3 linked regions of the Tamandua tetradactyla genome follow. The protein of the gene in region 1 purifies or fractionates together with the protein of each later gene. This does not show direct contact. Links are inferred from orthologs where the notes say so. Each region holds a gene or a part of one and is shown on either strand. Other genes may lie near its edges.

Region 1 (7,501 bases):
AGCCATTCTGATGCGCACATAGTAGTATCTGTTTTCACGTGTGATTCCTTAATAAAATGATGATGACCATTTTTTTCATACGCTTCTCAGCCATCTGTGTATCTTCTTTGGTCTAAAAAGTATTTTTAATTTGTTTCTTGAGGAGGTAATATATACGCACATACATTTAGAATTTTGAACCAAGAGTCACAATCTTGCCCCTGACTCCCTGCCACCTGATTCCCTTCCCTGGCAGCAATGAAAGCAATACTTTATGTCCTTGCAGAGAATCTAAACATACGTAACCAAATGTGCATTTATGCTCCACACACTCTTTTTTATTAAGATGAAATGAATCGCTTTAAAATGAACAATTCAGTGTCATCTAGTATATTCATTATGTTTTGAAACCACCACCTTTATCTAGTTCCAAAATAATTTTCATAATTCCATATCCATTGAACAATCACTTCCCACAGCCCCTGGCAACCACCAACCTGCTTTGTCTCTATGGATTTGCCTGTTCTGGAAATTTCATGTAAACGGAATCATACAATATGTGACCTTTTGTGTCTGCCTCCTTTCTCTTAGCATAATATTTTTTAAGGTCATCCATGTAACATACCAGCGTTCATTGCTTTATTTTTATGGCTGAATAATACTCCATTTATATGCTGGTATTGCAATTTTTTAATCCATTTATCTGCTGATAGACATTAAGGTATTTCCCATTTTGGGGTCCTTGTTTTTTGCCCATTTCTCCCTTGTTTTTGGTTTCTCATTGATACTTAAGGTGGGGAACTAGCCATTCAAGGTGTAAACTGTAAATATTTTCTTCAGTTTATAATTTTGGCTTTTCAAAATGGATTTTTAGACATAGTTAAAAAACTTTTTTTTTAATGGCTTCTGGATGTTGCATCATAGTTTAAAAGACTTTTCCCACACAAAATGATTTTCTCAAAACCTCCCTTAGTGCCTGGCTTTACTTTTGATTTTTAATGTCTACCTTTAAATTTTGGATTCATCTGGAGTTTATTCCAGGTTGTAGATTATGGATCCGACTATATTTCCCAGATTGCTCCTACCCATTTCATAATACCTTTTTATTGAATAATTCCTCTTTCCTCAACAGATATGAAATGATACATTTAGCATATACTAAATTCCTGTGTGCATTTAGATCTAATTCTAGGTTTTTCTGTCTTCCACTGATCTATGTGTACTAGGATTACTTTTTAGTTATTACATTTTAACTATTATAACTTTGCCATGTTTAAATATCTGGTAGGGTTAGTCTCTGTTCATTGCTCTTTGTTTTCATAAGCATCCTGACTTTTTGCTTATTTATTTCTCCATATGAACTTTAAATCAACTTTCCCACCCCCCAATCACCACCAAAAAAAATAAACAACCAAAAACTTGTTAGGTTTTTTTTTTTTGGCACGGGTAGGCACTGGGAATCGAACCCGGGTCTTGTGCATGGCAGGCAAGAACTCTGACACTGTGCCACCAGCGCCCACCCTAGGCTTTTTAATTGTGATGAACTCAGACTAATTTAGGGAGAATTGACACCTTTAGACGGCAAATCCCTACCGAGAACAAGGGTTCCTTGGTACCCATAATGTGTTTGTGCACTCACCTGTTGATGGACAGTTGCTGGACAGATAACTGCAGGTTATCTCTGAGTGTCACATGAGTTCATCCATTCTCCCCAAGTATGTCACTCAGAGGTCCTGAGGGTAACCCCCAAACCTGAACTTCCACTCTACCCCTAGCTTAGTGAGTGCACCTTCTCATGAATCCACAATGGGGATCAAGTCAGGTTAAGGGTCTGGGAGCCCTTGATTCCTCCCTTTCTCCCAAGAGCTATATCCTATCAGTGATTAAATCCTCTCGGCATTTTTAACAGCTTTATCCAGGTGAATCTGACATCCAATAAACTGTATGTATATAAAGTGAGCTATTTTAGTTTTGACATATATATATATACTCATGAAACCATAACCATAATCAAGTCCATGAACGTATGATCACCTCCAAAAGTTTTTTCGGGCCCTTTTGTCCACCGTGTCCTGCCTGCCACCCCTCGGGCAACCACTGATCTGCTTTCTGTCACTAGATTAGTGTCCATTTTCTAGAATTTTCATATAAACAGAATTACATAGTTATGTGTTCGCTTGTCTGGCTTCTTACACTCAGCACACTTATTCTGAGCTGCATCCATTTTGTTCTTTTTTTATCACTCAGTAGTATTTCATTGTATGGACATACCACAATTTGTGTATCCCTTCATTCTCTCATTGGTGGACATTTGGCTGTTTCCAACTTGGGGCTATTACAATGAAAGCTGCTACGAACATTTGCTGCAAGTCTGTATGTGGACATAGGCTTTCATTTCTCTTGGGTAAATACCCAGGAGTGGAGTGGCTGGGTCACATGGTAGGCGTATACTTAACTTTTTAAGAAACTGCCAAACTGTCTTCCAAAGTGATTGTACCATTTTACATTCCCACTAGCAGTGGATGGGAGTTCTATTTTCTGCATATCCTTGCCAATATTTGGCATGGTTGGTAATTCTTTTAGTCATTCTAGTAGGTATACAGTGGCATCTCTTAGTGGTTTTAACTTACATTCTTCTAATGAGTAATGTGTCAACCAGATTTTTATGTGCTTATTATGCCATTCATATATCTTCTTGAGTGAACTGTCTTGTCCGTATCCTTTGCCCATTTTTTATTGGACTGTTTGTCTTTTTAAGTTGCAAGACTTCTTTATGTATTCTAGATACAAAGTCCATCAGATAAATTTTGGCAATTATTTTCCCTTAGTCTATGGCTTGCCACTTCATTTTCCAATTAGTGTCTTTTGAAGAAAAACGGTGTTTTACTTTGAAGTTCAATTTATTAACTTTTTTTTTCTTTTATAGTTTGTGCTTCTTTGTGGCATATTTAAGAAATCCTTCCCAAACCCACCCAAGGTCACTAAGACTTTCCCCTATGTTTTCTTCCAGAAGTTTTTTTTCAGGTTTTACCATTAAACCTGTGATCGTTTGAATTCATTTTTGCTATTCTGTATTCTGGATAGTTAACTAATCCACCTATCTCTCTCTACTGTGTCTCCCACCACCCTACCTTCCATCATCCCTTGCTACCATTATCTCTTCCTGGACAACTAACTGCAGCAGTCTTTTATCTGGATTCTTTGCTTTGTGTCTTGTCCTTTCCAAACCACTCCTCCTGCAGCCTCCTCCTCCCTTTGTACAGATCTAATCACATCAGCTTCCTGCCTCACTAAGCTCTATGGTGAAGGAAGGGATGGAGTCAAGTTAGCAGAAGAGATGGAAGGGTTGTGAAGGTGACTGTCCGACACGGGGGGTTGAGCCAGAGGGCTTTGAGGGGAAAGGTGGTCTTTGGCACTCTGCAGTCACATCTTCCCTCTCCCCTGCTCCCTTTGATCCAGCCACAAGGGACATCCTTACAGGGTGTGTTCTCCTAGCCTTTGGATTTTTGTCCTCACAGTCTTTCTGCTTACAACACTGTCTCCAGCACCTTCTTGCCTGGTTAACTCCTACTTAGCCATGAAGAATCAGGTTTTTTAATCCCCAAAACTGGGCCAGGAGGGAGCCTGCCCCTGCAGTGGCTGGTTCACCTTGGTCGCAGGTCCGTGCAGAAAGGGTTTTGTCAAGGTTGGCTGCATAAACGCTGAGTGGAGAAGGGCACAGAGCCCAGAGCCGTTCTGGTCCCGGCTTAACCAGGTGAGGGAGCTCAGGCAAGCCACGCCCCTCCCGGGCCTCAGTTTCCCCAATCTGTAAACTCGGTTTAGATCCGTGGCTCTTAACCTTTTGGGGGTCTTGGATCTGACAATCCCGAAAAGGCTATGGTCTGTTCCCCAGCCAAATGCTTGTGTGCACGTCCTAGGAGCTGCGGGGCTGGGGTCCCCAGGGCCGGTGCGAAGCCGTGGGCTGCGGGAAGTTGCAGCCTGCCAACTCCTCGCCTTCCCACCCCAGTCCTCCCGGTCTCCCGCTGCTTCCTGCAGCTCGGGCGCCGGGGTCTCCGGGTCCTCAGCGCGCCTGCAGTCTGGCTCGCAGCCTCCGCCGCCCCCTCCCGGGTAAGGCGGCCCGTGGGCGCTCCCTGGTGGGCGGGCAGAGGGCGTGGGGGAGTGGGCGGGGAAGCCCCCCGACCACCCTCCCGCCGCGACTCCGACTTCCCCGATTCAAGAAACCCCAGCGCGCCGGAGAACGACAGCTTCCCCTAGCGGCTCATCGCCAGCCGGCGCGCGGCGGGAACCGGGGACCCCGCGCACAGAGGCGCGGGGACTTACCCAAGGTCGCGCCGCGAGCCCCGGTTCGGCCGCCTGCAGCCGCCGAGGCGCGGCGGCGGCGGCAACCCCGGGCCTGCGCCCCAGGGCGCGGGGGTGGGGTGGGGGGCGGGGTGAGGGTGGGGGCGGGGAGCCGGGGTGCGGCGCGGCCCGGGCGGGGTGGGGCTGCGGCTGCCGAGTGTCCGGCCGGGTCCCCGCGCCGCTCGCCGCACGCCCGGGCCCCGCCGCCAGCGGCTGCAGCAGCGCCAGGTAATCTCGGCCCCGCGCTGGGGCGGCGGGCGGCGGGAGGCCGTGGCGGTCCCCCCGGGGGGCCCGCGTGTCGCGGCGCGCTGGCCCGGGAACGCCCGCCGGGCCCTGCAACTCGAGCCGCGGCCCCTGGTTAAAAATACCCGCGGCCCTGCCCAGCCGCCCTCCTCCCCCGCCGTGCCCTCGGCCCCGGCCCCGCGCTGGCCCCTCCCCGGGGACAACTGTGCCTTTGGCTAATTTGTCCTCTCGCGGAGCTGGACCCGGGCCTGCGGAGGGAGCGAGGGGCGGGGAGACGCCGTGGGCCCGAGAGATAGTCGGAGAGCGCGTGGGAGAGATAAGGGAGGGCGGGGAGGAAGCGGGGCCGAGCCCCCGGAGCCGCCGGAGGAGGAGAGAGGGCGGGCGGAGGGGCGCGCGAGGAGGGCGGGGAGGAGCGCTCTTCCTGGTTGGGCCCGGCCCTGAGCAGCCACCGGGGAAGCCCGCCGCAGGGACCGCCGCCACCCCCCACCCCCTGCCCAAGCAGCCGTCCCTGCCCCCAGGTAAGGCCGGCCGGGGTGCCCTGATCCCGGCCACGGCGCCCCGGGGCTGCCCCCGCTCGGCGCGGCCGCGACCCTCCGGGTGCTGGGGAGCGGCCCCAGCCTGAGCTCACCATTGTGGCCAGGGGCTGGGCCGGGGCGGGGCTGGAGGAGGAGGGGCTGGGGGTCCAGCCCGCCTTGATGGCCCGGTCAGTCTCGGGGGGCCTGGGGAGCGGGGTCCTTGTCTGCCCGCTGTTCTCAGCCTGCAGCCCAGAGCTGGGAACTTGTTGGGTCTGGGATTGGCAAATCGGTTGGAAGAGGCCTTCCCTGGGGTCCCCGCCTTCTCTGTTCCTTCTGTTATCACGGGATCCACCCTGTCCAACCTGGGGGCGGGGAGGGGAGGCTGCAGGCCCAGGACTATAGTTTGGGAAGGGAGAGGTGGTGGGTATTCAGTGTGAGGGGGGGCAGGGTGGTGATGGCCTGGACACCCAGGGGCGGGGCAGGGGGGCTCTCCTGGGTGCTGGGAGCAGAGGGAGGGGGCACTGCGAGCCCCTCAGGTTCTGCAAGGGGAACTGCAGTGTGGCCAGGGAACCCCAGGTTTGGAGAGGAACGGCGGGGTGGGGGGCCGTGAAGAGGGGCAGGCACCCCAGTCCTCGCCCAGGGAAGGCCTGGGCTCTGAGCCAGCCATCGGTCCCGCAGGATGGCCGAGGAGTTCATCACTCCGGTGTACTGCACGGGGGTGTCCGCACAAGTGCAGAAGCTGCGGGCCAAGGGGCTGGGTCTGGGCCGCCACGAGAATGCTATCAAGTACATGGGCCAGGACTATGAGCAGCTGCGGGCGCAGTGCCTGCAGAGCGGGTCCCTCTTCCGGGACGAGGCCTTCCCCCCAGCGCCCCAGAGTCTGGGCTTCAAAGACCTGGGCCCCAATTCCTCCAAGACCTATGGCATCAAGTGGAAGCGCCCCACGGTGAGAGAGGGGCCACCCCGGGTGGGGCTGGCCGACCCCTTCCCCCTCCTCCCAATTTTGGGTGAGGAGGTGGGACAGGATGGTGGGGCGTGGGGGTCTGGGGTGGCTGGGGGCCGGTTTCCAGGAGGGACAGGACTCTGGGTCTCTCGCAGGAGCTCCTCTCAAACCCCCAGTTCATTGTGGACGGAGCCACACGCACAGACATCTGCCAGGGAGCACTGGGTAGGCCCCGGGGGACTCTGGGTGTTTTTTTTTTTTGGTCTTGTGAGTTCCCTAGTCCCGTTCCTTCCTGCAGCGGGATCTGCCCCTACTCCGCCCTCCTGCAAGCCGAGGCAGGCTCTGCCAATCAGGGCTGGGGCTGGTTTGCCTAGATTCCTGGGTAAGCTGAGGGGAGCCCAGGGCACACCACCTGGGGAGCCCCACCTGTTCCCCAGTATGGCACCTGTATGCACTGTCAGAGCAGGCTCCGGGGAGTGGACCTGATGTGGGCCCCCTCCCATGCCAGGGGACTGTTGGCTGCTGGCCGCCATTGCCTCCCTCACCCTCAACGACACCCTACTGCACCGGGTGGTCCCACATGGCCAGAGCTTCCAGGATGGCTACGCCGGCATCTTCCACTTCCAGGTGAGGCACCTGCACAGGTACAGGGCGCGTTGGCGTGGGGGAGTATTGGCGAGGAGGGATGCAGGGATGCACTGCTGTCCGAGGTCAGGGCAGCCGCAGGCACACCCTGCGGGGGCCAGCCCCTCCCCTGGAAGGTATTTGACCTCTCTTTGCCGTCTCAGGTCTGTCATGTGTGACACGGTCAGGCAGGTATTGCTGCTGGCGGGTTTCCAGGGTGTATTGGGGAGAAGGTGTTTGGAAGGAAAGAAAGAGCTCTGCTGTATATCCTGCAGGGCAGATCCTTCTCCTTCCCTGGGCGTCACTTTCCCCATCTAAAAATAAAGGGGCATTCTAGAGGGTAAAACAGACCAGTACCTGCAGCTGTCTCCCCTCTGAGCACCTCCTTCACTTTGGCAAACTCGAGCCTCTGACTGCGCCCCGCTAAAAAGAAAGACTTGGGATGAAGTCTGTTGAAACCAGCTTTTCCTGACCTTGTTTGCTCCCTGAGCCCATTTTTCAGGTCAGGCGAATTAATTTGCAATGAGCTGGGGTTGGCAGAGACACACCCTGGCAACCTAAAGGCCAGACCCTCTGCCCTGGGGGCCCCAGCCCTGTCCTGGGGGTTCCTGGGTGTTCTCTCCTTTTCATGTGGGACCCCCTTGTCCCACACCACCCACACCGGTCCTGCAGGACCCAAGGTTCAAGCCATGTGGCTGCACCTGTCCAGTTCATAGGGATGTGCCCCCCCACTTCCCTCCTTCCCTCCTGCCCCTGGGTCTCCCCTCCACCTGCTCCAGCTCCCGCCCCCTCCCCTTCCCTCAGCCTTCGGTACCCTGGGTCCTGACTGGACAGGCCCTTTCTCCCACCTGGACAACCC
Region 2 (7,208 bases), on another chromosome or scaffold:
GCAGTGCAATGGGATGAGAAGAGTATCCCCAGAGAAGGAAAATGAGCAAAGGCAGGAACTGGAGAGACCCAGCATGTTCCAGGAACTGAAATCAGGCGGGTGTGGCCAGAATACAGCACCACACCTGTGCAAGGCTGCTGAGGTCAGGTCCTGTAGGCCCTGGGAGGTTCACACTGCATCCTCGCGGGTGTGAAGGGCTGTGACAATGAGCAGGGATGCTGCACAAATCACTAGTTAGTAGGTGGGCCTGCACTGAGAACTGATTCTAACAGCACATTTACTCTGGGAGCACATCTCTTTTTACAACCTCATGCCCTGCAGGATGAAAACCTGTAAACTCCAGGAAAAGTAGCAGGGAGAGCAAAAGATGGCTGGACAGCTCTCGAAAGGCAAGCAGGGGATATTGTATACCTCCTTGCCTGATGTCAGATCTATAAAGGCAGTCTTTTTTTATTTTCAATATCATAGGAAAAAAAACATGAATATTTTATTTCCCCTTTATTTCTAACCATTCTTAGCAATCTCCAGTTGTAAAGTCATCGTTTCTTTGTATCCAGATATTATTAACAGCATGGCTGCACAAATTATTCTTCAGTGACTCCTCTTGAAGGCAAATGCCATTGTGAAAGGAGAAGAAATTTAATTAAATGAGTAAAATTCTCAAACCGAATGTTCTGTTACATATCAATTTGACAGCATGCTTTTGTAATATTTATTCCCTTTTCCATTCTATATGCAAAGTTTTATGGTATTATAGAACATTGAGGAGTGTCATAGATGTGACAAGCCACACAGTTCCCCTCAGGAATAAAGGACTCCTTACCCCAGCTGCTGGTAGTGCATCCAGCAAACAGCCCTCCTCTGTCAGCCTCCTCTGGGAACTGCCACAGTTTAACAGTTACCTGTCCTAAGGTCACTCCCCCTTCCAGCATCAACCACATCCCATGACTGATGCAGGGATATAAAGACCCAGGCCTCACTCCCCATCCTGGAGACGAACTCTGAAGGTGATCCCAGCATCATAACACCCTGCAGAGTTGTCCTAAGTCTCTGTTGGATCTGCATCCCTGTTCAGCTTCTCCCTTTACCCATTCCTTCCTTTCCCTTTCCAGGGTACTTCCTAACAAACCTCTGATGAAGAAATAGGATCTCAGCCCTCTTTGGTCCACAGAGCCAAGTGGGAAATTTTGCCATGTTGAAGATCAAGGCCTGAAAGCACTTGGCAAGTGACATACTATCAGGAGGGAAGACGGTCATAAGCGATGAGAAGCAAACCTGGCTATAGATATGTGTGTGACTCAAGCTCTTGCTTGGTAGCCATGGAAATTAACAATCATGTCATATGCTATTCTCTCTCTCTTTTTTTCTCTCTTCTTCCTCTGTCCCTCAATCCTTCATCTCCATTCTTTCCCCTCCCTGTATCCGCCATCCATGCACAACCCAGTGTGATCTGAAAAGAAAGACAAAGGCTCCTGTGTTCTAAACATATTCTCCAACTGGCTAACACATCTTCCTCTCCTACATGCACAACATTTTTACCACTGAAGCCATTCTTTGGATAATGCAACAGATGAGTCTTCTATCCTTTTCCTATTTTCAAGATTTATCTTCTTTTTTACTTAGGAAAATGAAACTAAGGAAGGCAGTAAACTTGGCTGAGAGGAGATGGCAGATGGGACAGTAACTTTCAGTGGGATCGGAGGGCACTTGAATATCAGCCAGAAGGTCCAGCTTTTTCTGGGGGTAGCTTCCCATCCAGTTGTGCGGTGGTGTGAAAAGAAATTCCTCCCAAATTGGGGGGGGGGGGATATTATTAAAACATTATTAAACTTTTCTCAATAGCTAATAACAAACAAATAAACAATCAAAACCTGTGGGTACCTCAGAAGAAATTTTGCTTTCTTCTCAGTATAACCCACTGCCTAGGTTACCAGGTTGAATATACACTCTTCACACATGATCTGACTCAAGCTTTCAGTGACTATCCCTCACTCTTACCTGCTTTCCTTCCTTAGCCTCAGACCACTTCATTCCTAGCTTCCTGCAGCCCCCCTGCCTGCTCCTTCTCAGGAGCCACTGGCGCCTCCTCCTCTGGACTCCATTTTGCCTTTTTTTTCCTTCATTTTATACATGTTTTCTAATGAGGAATAATGAGCTCCTGAATAGGTGCAGGGGCAGTGGGAGTGAAGAGGAGGAGATAAAATGTGGGGATTACTAGGAAGGGGCTTCAACTCATTTGGGTCAAGACATGGAGGGAGGAAGCAGCCCCTTTCCCCAAGTCACCCACCCCTCCGTCTGAGTGAGAAGTCCCTAAAGCCTGACTGCTCTTGCCCTTATCCCTAGAGTCATATCATTGTGGATTTACTTCACTGTCTTTCCTACTGAACTGCAAGGTCGTTGAGTGTGGGAGGTCCCTAGATAACACATTTCAGGCATCCAGTCGTGGAGTAAATAAAGGAATAAATGTTTACAATATGTGCACATAATGATGTAATAAAAGACGCCATATATTACTGAAAAGCACTTCTCAAGGTCGCCAAAATTCTGGTCATGGTATTAAAGTTCTAATAACTCCTCACTGATTACAAGAGAAAGTGAAAACATCACTTTCCTCTTAAACTTCTTTGAAAAACCTCTTTACTCATAGTGCTTAGCCCATCGATGTCCTGCTTATATTAGTTCAAACCCTTAAGCAAATTCTAAAGGGCAGGGTCAGCATCTTTTACAGCCTTTGGTACCTACTGCATCACTTAGTACAGTGCAGCTGCTCAGTAAAAAATAGGATGATAAACAAGATTGAGCAGGTCCCTCAGCTCTGGCCAGGTAGTGGATTCCTCTTTATCCCTGAACAGCCCCACCTCTTCTCCTGTTCACATCCCAGTATTCTGCCAGCCCACTCAAGCCTTTCTTTCCCTTCCTATAATTAGCAAAATCCATGGATCCCCAAACCTCCAAAGCACATTTGTACTTATTCACAAAATAAATCTCTTTGGGAGTCATCCAAATGATCATGTGTTACAAATGCTGTTATCATTCCACTAAACTTAAGTTCCTGGAGGGTGTGTGTGTGTGTGTGTGTGTGTATTTTAATCTTTATATCATAATGCATTACATGGAAGGCTCTCAAGAAAAAAAAACCAACTATTTAAAGTCCATTTAAAATGCTCTGTTGGAAGATAATGCCATGAAGTCAATGGGAACTGTTCTAACCAGAGTCAGAATAATGTACTTCAAGGATCTAAAATTTGAATATAGGACATCTAGGCTCCCTAGTAAGGAAATGGTCCCAATTACAGAGAAAAGATACATGCCTGTTACCTCATCCATGTCATTTTTCTAGTTATTTAAATTACTGTAGTGATTTCGGTCACAATCACAAAAGCTTTCTTTAAACTTTCAGATATGACATTTTCCCCAATCTGAATACAATTGATGCAATCAGTTATTCCTGAACAATCACATCCCCCCTTTTCAAGTTATTTTGTTTTCATGAATAAATTCCTGCACTACAGCCTGTTTTATTGGAAACACACACATAGTAAGCTGGTCCCTTTAAGAGGAAATGCATTTAAAGCATCCCCGTTAAGATGCTAGCCTCTCCTTAACTGAGGAGCGAGAACTCAGTATTCCTAGAAATGAGGGAGTAGGGGGCTATGCAAGAATTCATATCTGACAAGTTCCATACAGCATGGCAAATCTTTCCTCATAATCTAGCCTCTCCCTCTTCAACTCTCTCCACTCCAGAGAGGGGTGCCCAGAGACCCAAAGTTGCAACGCCATTGCAGAGAAAAGCAGGTTTTTCTGCCGGGTGCGATCACCAACTAGCGGCGACAGCAAGCTGGCAATCTCTCCAGATGAACGTTTACTTTTCAACTCGGACTTGCTAAATTTCGCTTCCAGCCCCAAACCAGGAAGTGCTTTTCAAGAAGAGCCAAAGCCAAAAGTGGTCCAGCCTCAGAAACAAACCCCGCCAGACTCCAGAAAGGCTACAGGGTACATTGAAGTTGGGGACTGTTCTCCAACCTGGGGATGGAACCTACGAACTACTCCCCACGAAACATTACTAAACTTTCCTAGTCTGCCAGAACAAAGTAAAATGACACAATATATACAGGCGCACGCGCACACACGCAAGTTTGTTTTTGTTATCCACTTCCCTATTTAGACAGTCCAGGCGTGAGCCAGATTTGCCTTAGTAGATTTTCTCTCAGCTGAAGCCGGGCAGATTGCCGACAAGTTGTCCAATTCTCGAGATTCTTAGGAGGAAGGATTGAGGCGTAGACCGGCCACGCCCCGGCCCGACTCTCCCATTGCACAACTCCCACAGAAGTTTGGCACGATGAAGGCGGGACCCCGCGACCTCCAACCCTTCCTCTCTCTGACTCAAGGAGAACCATACAGTCCTGCAGTGGAGGGAGGGTCGCGGGTGAGGACGCAGGGCAGAGGGTGCTAGGCGTGTGCCCCGAGCGCGCGGGCCGCAGCCACCCGCCGGCAGGAAGGGGAGGGCCCTGCCTGGCGAGGGCGAGCCCCCCCGCGGGCTCGCGGCCGGGTCGGAAAAGCTGCCTCGCGGGCGCGTTCCCGGGCCCTGGCTCCGCGCCTTCCCCCCAGCGCTCCCCACCCGGGCCTCCCAGTTGCCGCTGCCGGGTCCCGGTGGCAGCGCCCGCCGCGGCCTCGCCATGTCCCAGCCGGGCCAGAAGCCCGCCGCCTCCCCGCGGCCCCGGCGCGCTGCGGCGGCTCGCGGCGCCCAGGAGGTGAGTGGCGTTCCTGCCGGAGTCGGGGAGTGGGGCGCTGGGGAGGCCCCGCGTCCCCGAGCCGTGGGCTGCCTCCCCAGGGGCGGTGCCGGGCCTGCCGGGCCTGGAGCCCCGTGCGCCCCCTTCCGGGCAGGGGAAGGGCTCGGCGCTCAGCGCCCGCCGCCGCACGGGCGCCCGAAGGTGGTCAGAGGTGTCTGGGCCTAGATCAGGTGTCATGGGTGTGGCGCGGGGCGAGAAGCAGTGCCAGCGCCGGGAAAAGTTGGCTGTTGAGACAGGAGTAAAATGAGGATGGCGATGTGAAGACAATAAACTTCATTCGGGACCCCCCGGAGTGGTCGGGGTTGTTTAACTGGCTGGGGGAATTCTCTCTTCCGCGTCAAATCCTGGCTGCAGGGCGTGGCTGCCTGGAGAAGTAACTCTTCTCGGGGACCTGCCCTGAGCCAAAACGGCCGGGGTGGGGCCGGCTTGCCGGGGGCGGGGTCTGCGTCGGGCCCCGCCCCCTGTGCACGCCCACCTGGTTACTACCCGACCAGCTGAACTCGCTGTCAGCCTGGTCCCGCACCAAAGGAGTGTGAGCTCCGCGCCCCCCGCAGCGCTCCGGGTGCCCTCGCGGGGTACTGCACCGCGCGGCTCAGAAGCGAACCAGTTGTTACCATGGCGTTCGCAAGCTGGTGGTATAAGACGGTAAATGGGAGCGATCTTGTCTGGGCAGGAACGGGAAGGGAGTGTGTGTACTTTGGTTTGTCCTACGGGGCGTGAGGACGAGGTATTGTCCGGGCTTGGCCGGGAAAGGGTGGGAACCCGGCGCGACCTCCTCGCAGACCTTGGGGTTAGGCTGCCTGAGAGGCCCGGAGACTCACCCTTCTCAGGTATGTGAGTGCGAGCGAGCCCGGGCGTGCGGTTCGGTGCGAGCAGATGCACCAAGCTCAGCTCCTGCTCACAAGTTGAATGGAACAGGAATTGGAGCTGGAGGAATTCCGCCCCCGGACACGGATACTTGGACAAACTTGCGCGCAGCCCACAAGAGCTGGGGGTTTGTTTTTAACCCCCAAGTTAGGTTCAGTTTTTTCAGAGGAAGGTTGTTAGGCATGCATTTTCCAATTCAAAGGAGTCGAGGCAGCCTGATTTAGGGCAAGGAGAAAACACGAAACCCCAAAGAGCAAAAGTAGCCGAGATCAAGATTCTTTTGGCGTGGGGGGTGGGGGGTGGGAGAGGCGGGGGGAATGCTTTGCACTTGGTTACTTTGGAGACGGGACAAAGATGTTCCATTTGTGTAGTGCATTGAATGTTGTATCAATTAATCAAGCTGACACTTGTAGTGATCTGGAACCAGGAAGTATGATTTAACAGAGGTTGCTTTCCAAAAAAGATATCCCAAAGTTTTGTTGACAGGGTTGGAATATTTATGTTCCATTGATTTATGGTCGGAATTTCCAAAAAAAATTAAATAGGTGCATCTCTTAGCATAGGGTTTGGGAAAAGCAAGGTTATAACTAGACATTCTTTGGAGCAAGAAAACCTTCTATTAGAATCAGGAAACTGCCATTTATAAGTCAATGGCCATTGTGGACAGGTGGCAGGCACTTGTATAGCTTCCAGATACACAGTGGAGAAAAAAACAGATTTTATTCTCGAAGGGCAGCCTTTTGAACCTGTTTCCACATCTGTAAAATGGGGTTGATAATACACACCACAAGGGTTGGTAAAGACTAATTAGATTCATGAATCAAAGTGCCGGACATACACTTAATGATCTGAAATTCCCATTTCCCTTGAGATATTTCTTCAAGGATGTTTTCCATTACATTTCCTAGGTGATTCTAATGTAGCATCTTATTGATGTACTTAACAGTGAAAGCTTGCTTTGAATGACCTGTTTTTGTCCTAAGATTCTTATCAAAATGTACCACATGAATCATCTGCAAATACGGATGGGCAGTGGTAAGAGTTGACATCCACATCTTCCAAATTTGTGATTCGCTGAAGGAAACTAGCTGGGCTACTTGGATGAAAATAGTTAAGCCTATGTTTTAAGCTTACACATTGACATTTTTGCTAAAACCTCTGTCTTAGAATCCAATTTTGGGATGATTATGAAAACATTTTGCTAATAGGAATTTCCTAGAATCCACAGCATGCCACGCGCTGACATTTCCCAGACTGGTGCTGTACAATAGAAATATGGTGTGAGCTACATATATAGTTTAAAATGTTCTAGTAACAATTAACAAAAGCAAAGAAAAACAGCTGAACTATACTAATATTTTATTTTATTTGGCCCATTATATTCCAAACATTATTTCAACAGGTAATCAATGTCGAAATTGTTGAGATATTTTACATTCTTTTTTCATATTAATTTTTCAAATTCCAGGTTGATTTTACATTTAGAGCACAGCTCAGCTTGGACTTGCACATTTCACGTGCTCATAGCCACAGGTGGCTATAGTATTGGAC
Region 3 (7,446 bases), on another chromosome or scaffold:
TCTGAACCACTACTTGGATGGGTGGATGAGGATGGTTTGCTGAAAACCATGTAAGTACACAATCCACTGACTCTCAAAGAGTTTTCATTCTGGTGAGGGAGTTGGATTGGTACAATTGCACAGAAAATGATGATGATGATGCTAACAGCTAAATTAGTGTCACGTCCTCCATCTATTACCTAGCACTGGGTTGGGTAATGCTGGGGACACAGTTGTCCCTGAGAAAGCATCCCCTCACCTGACCAGGGCTCCCAATTCAGAGGGGAAGACAGATATCATCAAATGTTATAGATTGTAATTCATTATTTTATTTATTTATTTAGGTCAGGTGACACTTTACAAGGCGGGAAACACAAAACCTATCTTTGGGAAATATCAAGAGCCATACGTGGGCCAGAGCAGAGAGTGGAGGTGCAGCAATCAGAGTGGGACTCTAGTCTGGGCTGAGGGAGGTTGAGAAAGTTTTCCTTGGTAAGGTGATATCTGTACAGTGACTCCAAGGCAAAAAGGGTGAAAAGGGTGTTCCTGCAGAGGCAGAGCCTATGCAAAAACCTGGCAGCAAAACAGCATGGTGAGGAGAGGGAAGGGAAGTGGCTTATGCCAGCTGCAGGGAGGGGAACAGAGGGACAGGAATCCAAATTAGTCATTATGTAACAACTTGGCATCAACCAAGCTCTCAGACTCTGCCAAATCCTGTGGTGCCTCAGGCAAGTGACTAGCCTCTCTGAACTTGCGCTTCCTCTAGTTATTTCCTTTTTCATAGGGTGGTGAGATGCCTTGGCAAGATATGCCGGTAAGACTGTTATCCTAACCTAGTTCCATCAAGCCCTGGGGAGATGGTTAGCTAGGGTAGTTATGACTGAGTGTATTATTGGTGCTAATATCACTGAGGCAGCACATTATGAGCAATAAAAGTGTAACCTACAAAGCCAGACTCCCTGAGTTCAAATCTTGACTACCCCCACCCTGGACCTTGGTTTCTTTCTGGGCCCGATCATAACATCTACATGCACCAGTCAAAATAGGCTAGGTTATGCTGTGGTAACAAATGAGCCCTAGAGCTTGGTGGACTAATACCTCAAAAATGTTAGTTCTTGCTCATACAGTTTGCTGCAGGCTGGGTGACAGTGGGTGACCATCTCCACTGTTGCCAGGGCAGGGGAGAGAGAGAGAGCATGGAGCATCCTCCACTGGCTTTTTTTTTTTTTTTTTTTAATAATGGTCAGTGTTGTGATTTTTATTTTTTAAATAAATTGTAGGTTTGCAGAAAAATCATGCAGAAAGTACAGAGTTTCTTTATACCCCATCTCACACACACAGTTGCATTGAGCTTTTAAATGCTCCCACCTGGAAAGTGCCACACTCAGTGCTCCAGCTCTCCTTTCACAATGCAAGTCATCCAACCCTGCTGAAGTTTAAAGGAGCATGCAAAAGTTCGGGAGGCATTAGTAATGCTTGCTGGACTATCTCACTGATGACGCTGAAAACTGAATGACAAAATCCATGTAAAACATTTCATTCATCATGAACAAGTGCTTATTGAATGCCTAATATGGGCCAGGCACTGTTCTAGGTACTGGGTACATAGCAGCAAACTAGACAAATCCCTACTCTCTGGAGGCTGTTTGTAGTGGGGGAAAGAGACAAACGGAATGAGTATGCAATATGCTAAGAGGTGATAAGTGATAGGAGCAGGGGGTTTAAATTGAGGATCCCAGAGGACCTTCCTGATCACTTGATGTGAGGCACTAAGAAGTAAGGGACTAAGGTGGGGCTGGAAACTAGCCTTGGCAATGGAGAAGCAGCCCTCATGTATGTAGAGGGGGACTGTCTGGATGCTGCTGTGTGTCCTTGTCTTGAGTGCTCAGGTGGGACCATCCAGGTTGAGCTGCCAGTAGGGCCTTTTCTCTCTTTCTCATGGAGGAGAAGAGCAGAGAGATGGTAGGACCAGATCACCAGGGCCTTAGTGAGGACTTTGATTCTTGCCTATAGTGAAGGGCAGCCAGGGGAGGAGGGCGGGGCTCAGCCATGAGGGGCCTGATCTGACCCAGGTGTTCACAGGGTCCCTCTGGCTGCAGGTGGGGAGAAGACTGTGGGGGGCAGGGATGGCAGGAAGAGGCTGCTGTGGGAGAGGAAGGAGGCAGGACCTATGTGGGGCAGTGGAGGGGAGGAGTTTAGATTCTGTAGGTGGAGTCAACAAGGTTTGCTGACAAGTTGGAGTGGGTGTGAAGGAAAGAGGGTTTAAGGACAACACTGGGGTGTTTGGCTTCAGTCACTGGAAGGACAGGGCTACCACTTGCAGAGGTGGGGGAGGAGCAGTTTGGGATGTGTGGAATTTGAGATACCTCTAAGATCCCTCCCCTTCCCTCATGGAGATGGTGAGTGGAAGGCAGACTATAGGAGGATACAAGGAACCTGGAGCTCAGGGGCTCTCTGGGCTGAAGATATTTGGGTGTTGACAGCCTAGAGATGAAATTTAAAGCATGGTATGGGCGAGGCTCACGCAGCATGTGTGGCAGAGGAGGACCAAGTCCTGGGACTGACCAGAATTAGGAGCTCCAGGATACAGACCTAGACCACAACATGATTATAATGGGCTGTGAATGTCATGAGAAAGTACAAGTAATTTTCAGAGCATATAACTGGAAGCCTCAGCTAGTTTTGGGTGGGAGTAGTGGGGGGTTAGGGAGGGTTTCCTGGAAGAGGCCACTCCTGAGCTGACACCCAAAGTCTGAGTAGCTACAAAGCCAGGCCAAAAAAAAAAAAAAAAAAGGCGGTAGGAGTGTTCCAGATAGAGGGCACAGCCTACACAAAGCCCTGGCAGCAAGTGAGCCCAGGGAGAGGACAGGCCGCTGAAGCTGTTCAGCTTGGTTGAAACTATGAGTGGCAGGGAGGGGTGTGGTGACAAGGGAATCCAGATTAGTCACCCTCAAAAGATACGGCCTCAACCAAGCCCAGGTTCAGGCCTGGTTCTTCCACCCTCTGTGACCTGAGGCCTCTCAGAGCCTCCATTTTCTCTCTTGTTAGTTTCTGCCTTAGAGACAAGGCTTGTGTAGGCAGTTGCCCTGTCCTGGCCCAGGAGGCCCTCAGGAAGCATGAACTCAGGATGTGGTATTGTCTGTTGTGATTTTGTTATTTGAGTTATTATATTAATTATATGACTGGAGACTCAGTGCATTAGGGTAGTGGTTAAGGGCCCAGGCTAGGGAGCCTGGCTGTCTAGGTTTAGGAGTCAGTTTATCTATGTATAAAAGGGAGAAAGTAGTATCCATCCACAGCGTTGTTGTGAGGACAAATTAGGTAAAGTACTTAGGAAGGTGCCTAGCAGCTATTTTTATCAGTGTTATTTAAGGAGGAATAAGAGTGAGCTGGCAGGGGTAGGAGACAGCATGGGAGGGCACAGGCACAGAGGCATTTAATAACTACCATTTACTAAGAATTTATCACTTAATTCTAATAGGGGGCTAATGGAGGTAAGACCCATGTTCCTATTTTACAGATGAAACAATTGCTGCTTAGAGATTGCAGGTCACTCTCTTGGGGTGGCACAGATATTAAGGGACAGAGCTAGGATTCAAACTCAGGCCTAGCCATCATCCTCCAGGGGAGGGGCTTAGGGTGCGACAGCCAGACTGCCATGCCAGACTTAGCTCCCTCTGAGAAGCCTTGAAGAGCCCCGAGGAAGTACCTGGCGCACACTGATTGGAGGATGGAAACAGAGAGCAAGTGAAAGGCCTCCAAAGGCGGCTGCAGTCGTGATTTTTCCTCTCAGTTACACCGCTTTCTCCCCCTGTATCCTATCCACCCTGGGACCTCGGTAACATCTGGCCAAGCTGGGACCAGAGAACAGAGACTCCTTCCTATGTCCGGGGCCTTCTTTAGATTGGAAGATTGAGGCGAGATGTTGGGCCCGGCCAGGAAACATTACGCCTGACTCGGGGTTGGAAGCAGGTGGAGGAGAAGCAAGGATGCGTTCCCAGGTGGGGGAAATCCCACCTACAGTTTGACCGCGATCTGGCTGCCATAGGGAACGGGAAGACTAGCCTAGCCTCAATGCCTAACACAGATGAGTACGCTTGATCTCGGAAACAAAACTCGGGGCCTCCTGATGCTGCTCGTAGCGACAAGACCTGTATAGGGGTCATGTGCTATCTTTTCCAGCGTCCCGAAAGCCGCATCCGCAGCTGGGTGAAGAGGAACCTCGGGTGGGGGTTTCTCCGAGATTGCCTAGGGCACCTCGAATTTCCTGTCCCCGTGAAAGCGCCCGGGGTTGTAGGTTGTGGGGAAAGCCCTCAAACCCCTTTAGATTGGGGCGGGTTTGGAACTTGCCCACCCAAGGGTGGGGCCGCAGTGTTCACGCCCCATATGTCTCGAGGCCCGTGTGCGCAGGCGCATACGCACAAGTCGGCTCTAGGACCCCAGCGGATGCCCGTTGGGCCGCGTCACTGTGCCTGACCCGGGCACTGCAGCCTGAGTCACCGGCCACGCCCTCCGGAGCCGGACACAGCGGGAGGCCGGGAGGAGCAGACAAACGGGCCGCCAGATCGACGGACTTATCAGCTAGGCGGTGAGCATTCGGCGCGGACCCCTCCACCCACCCCCGGCGGCCCCCAGAGCCTACGAGATCCTATAGTTTTGGCCTCAGGGATCCCTAGACCTGGACGGCCCCCGTTATCTTGGTCCCGGGGTTCCCTCGTATCGTGATCTAAGATGCGAGTTTACAGATTGCAGGCACCCCGTAAATTCTGTCCTGGGGCCTCTAGAACCACGACCCTAGATGCGCGCCCCCAGTTCCAGTGGGGACCCTGTTATCGTGGGCCTTGGGGATCACAACCACGACCTCAGGCCTCAGGCCACAGACCTAGCGATGCGACTGTAATCTCACCGCACGGAGATCCCAGACCCTCACTTCCTCGTTCAGGACTCCCTCAAGTCTGCTCCAGGGACGATGATCCTAGATCTGCGCCCCTGATCCTCCGAAGACTCCCACGTTCCAATTCTGGCGTTCCTGGATCTCAGATTCGAGCGCCCACACACGTCGGAGACGCCTTACACCAATTTGGGCCTCGCGTCTGGACAAACCTCCCGATCTGGACCCCTACCCTTAATGATAACTGTGCGTGGACTCAAACCCGACAGGGACCCTTTAGAACCGAGGAGGATTCAAGTCTGATCCTCCGTCCCTATCCCACACATCCGAGGGCTACCTCCTCCGCAAGCACAGACTTCATCCTGGCCGAATCCCTCAGCCCCAGCCGGAGGATTGGCACCCACCCGGAGGCCTCAGATTCCTCCTCAGCGCTCACGAAAATGTGTCCTTTGGGGGGAGGGAGGAGTTCAGGGGCGAGGCAGCCACCTAACGCTTTCTCTCCTCAGGAGTCCGAGTCGCGGCCATGTTCCTGGTTAACTCGTTCTTGAAGGGCGGTGGTGGCGGCGGCGGCGGCGGGGGCCTGGGCGGAGGCCTGGGGAATGTGCTCGGAGGCCTGATCAGCGGGGCCGGCGGCGGCGGCGGCGGCGGCGGAGGAGGAGGTGGCGGCGGCGGCGGCGGCGGAACAGCCATGCGTATCCTGGGCGGGGTCATTAGCGCCATCAGGTAAGGCGGGGCCTGGCGGGGTGCGGGCCCAACAAGAGAATCGTAACCCTCAGACTGGGCCGGGCTTAAGCAGGGAGGTGGGCCTTGGGGGCGGGGCTGAGGCCCGTTTTGGGGGCGGGCTTGACGTGGGCGTGGTTTTGCCGTGGGGGTCAATAGTGATGTTGGCCCAAGAGGGACTTAACCTGACGGAACCCGCCGGTCTCTGGGAAAGATGGAAGACTTGGCACGGCCAAGCATGGGCTTACCTAGAGAGAAGTATGGAGGGGGAAGAGCCATCATTGGCTGCAGGAGTATGTCACTCCATGGGCTGGGTCTTGAAGTGGGCACGGCCTGGTTGTCTTAGGTTAATGAGGAGGTGAGCCTAAGAAAGGCTAAGACCTAATGGGAGAGAGGAAATGGGCCTTGAAGGTGTAGGGCCTAGCTAGGAACTGACTCAATTAAGGGAGAAAAATCCTGTGCTTAGGAGTAGGTCACTTGTCGCTTGGGGCCTTGGCCACTGAAAGGGTGGGGCCTAATGGAGTTGGGGCGGGATGTTAGAAAGACAGGCATTCAGGTGGGGGGTGGGTCCTGGGCAAATGGAATTTAAGAAGAGGAGACAGGCCCAGGAAAGGTAGGCATATCCTCTAAGAAGCGAGTTCTTGGAGGGGCAGGTCTTTTGAGGTTGAGCGAGATTGTGGGCTGGGAATGGGTGGGGCCAGAATGATTCTGGAATCTGCCATTGGGTAGGTATGCCCTGAAGGTAGTGGAACCTGCCGCGAGGGCGGCCCGTGCGTGGGTTTCCTCGCGGATGGAGTTGGCCTGATGGAGGGAGAGGAGGGACTTGACCAGGGCAGCAAGGATAGGAACAGGTCAGGATAATGACAGATGAGGCTTGGAGGTGGGAGTGGGGAGGAACCCTGTAGCAAGGATGGTGGGCTGGGAGTTTGGGAGTTGTGGGGGGCTGGTCGTGGCAGTTCTGCTGGGGATGCCCGTTGGAAGCCCCGCCCCTTGGTACTAACTCCCAGTGTCTCTTCACAGTGAGGCGGCTGCGCAATACAACCCGGAGCCCCCGGTGAGCCTCTCTCCCTTCCTCCTTCACGGCCTTTTCCAGAACCATCCTTGTCCCTTTGGAGAAGCCCCAACCCCTTTCCCTCTTATGAAATCCCTCTCCCATTAAGTCCCTACCTTGCCAAGTCCCCTGACTTAGCTGTGGATATTAGCCATGCGACAGGGGCCCCCTTTTTTTGTTCACTCAGTCACCCACTCCACTCTGACCTCCACTTAGGGCACTTGGGTGTGGGGAGCTCTCCTGGCTGGGGTACCCTTCTCCCTGCTTGCTCTGAGATATTCTCCATTTGCAGCCCCCACGCACCCATTATTCCAACATTGAGGCCAATGAGAGCGAGGAGGTGCGACAGTTCCGGAGGTTGTTTGCCCAGCTGGCTGGAGATGTAAGTAACTGAGACCCCAGCTCAGTCCCAGCCTTTCACAGCCTTCCTTTGAATTGCCTTGCATACACATACCATGATAATCCCAAAGTTCCCATCCTCCTTCAGAACCAGCCCACTCCTTCCAGCCATCTCTGACCCACCCATAACTTCTCCCTGCAGGACATGGAGGTCAGTGCTACTGAACTAATGAACATTCTCAACAAGGTCGTGACACGACGTGAGTGAATACATAGTGCAAGTTTAGGCATAGGGGCAGAAGGGGCTGTGATCTATGGCCACTGACCTTTAACCTGTTCTCTCCTAGACCCTGATCTGAAGACTGATGGTTTTGGTATTGACACGTGTCGCAGCATGGTGGCCGTTATGGATGTATCCTTGGGGGCAGTCAGAGGGAGGCCCTGGGTGAAGAGGGAGATTTCTGAG

The links.
Region 2: the proteins of CAPN1 (region 1) and CAST purify together in Homo sapiens (co-immunoprecipitation; 4 studies listed by BioGRID and IntAct, counting the BioPlex papers as one, with this or other methods). This does not show direct contact. The link is inferred for Tamandua tetradactyla from reciprocal best matches to the Homo sapiens genes CAPN1 and CAST.
Region 3: the proteins of CAPN1 (region 1) and CAPNS1 purify together in Homo sapiens (co-immunoprecipitation; 4 studies listed by BioGRID and IntAct, counting the BioPlex papers as one, with this or other methods). This does not show direct contact. The link is inferred for Tamandua tetradactyla from reciprocal best matches to the Homo sapiens genes CAPN1 and CAPNS1.

What each region holds. Positions count from the first base shown.
Region 1 is NC_135335.1:9,387,993-9,395,493, reverse strand, and holds the start of CAPN1 (calpain-1 catalytic subunit), read left to right. Parts: upstream 1-4,482; 5' UTR 4,483-4,545; intron 4,546-4,782; exon of another isoform or gene 4,783-5,078; intron 5,079-5,753; 5' UTR 5,754-5,754; coding exon 5,755-6,021; intron 6,022-6,173; coding exon 6,174-6,243; intron 6,244-6,526; coding exon 6,527-6,645; intron 6,646-7,501. UniProt on the Homo sapiens protein: Calcium-regulated non-lysosomal thiol-protease which catalyzes limited proteolysis of substrates involved in cytoskeletal remodeling and signal transduction. Proteolytically cleaves CTBP1 at 'Asn-375', 'Gly-387' and 'His-409'.
Region 2 is NC_135347.1:34,426,937-34,434,144, reverse strand, and holds the start of CAST (calpastatin), read left to right. Parts: upstream 1-4,196; 5' UTR 4,197-4,339; coding exon 4,340-4,426; intron 4,427-4,661; exon of another isoform or gene 4,662-4,676; coding exon of another isoform or gene 4,677-4,751; intron 4,752-5,289; exon of another isoform or gene 5,290-5,405; coding exon of another isoform or gene 5,406-5,435; intron 5,436-7,208.
Region 3 is NC_135342.1:29,811,338-29,818,783, reverse strand, and holds the start of CAPNS1 (calpain small subunit 1), read left to right. Parts: upstream 1-4,434; 5' UTR 4,435-4,567; intron 4,568-4,921; 5' UTR 4,922-5,116; intron 5,117-5,376; 5' UTR 5,377-5,393; coding exon 5,394-5,593; intron 5,594-6,343; exon of another isoform or gene 6,344-6,394; coding exon of another isoform or gene 6,395-6,441; intron 6,442-6,610; coding exon 6,611-6,644; intron 6,645-6,933; coding exon 6,934-7,023; intron 7,024-7,182; coding exon 7,183-7,240; intron 7,241-7,327; coding exon 7,328-7,392; intron 7,393-7,446. UniProt on the Homo sapiens protein: Regulatory subunit of the calcium-regulated non-lysosomal thiol-protease which catalyzes limited proteolysis of substrates involved in cytoskeletal remodeling and signal transduction. Essential for embryonic development.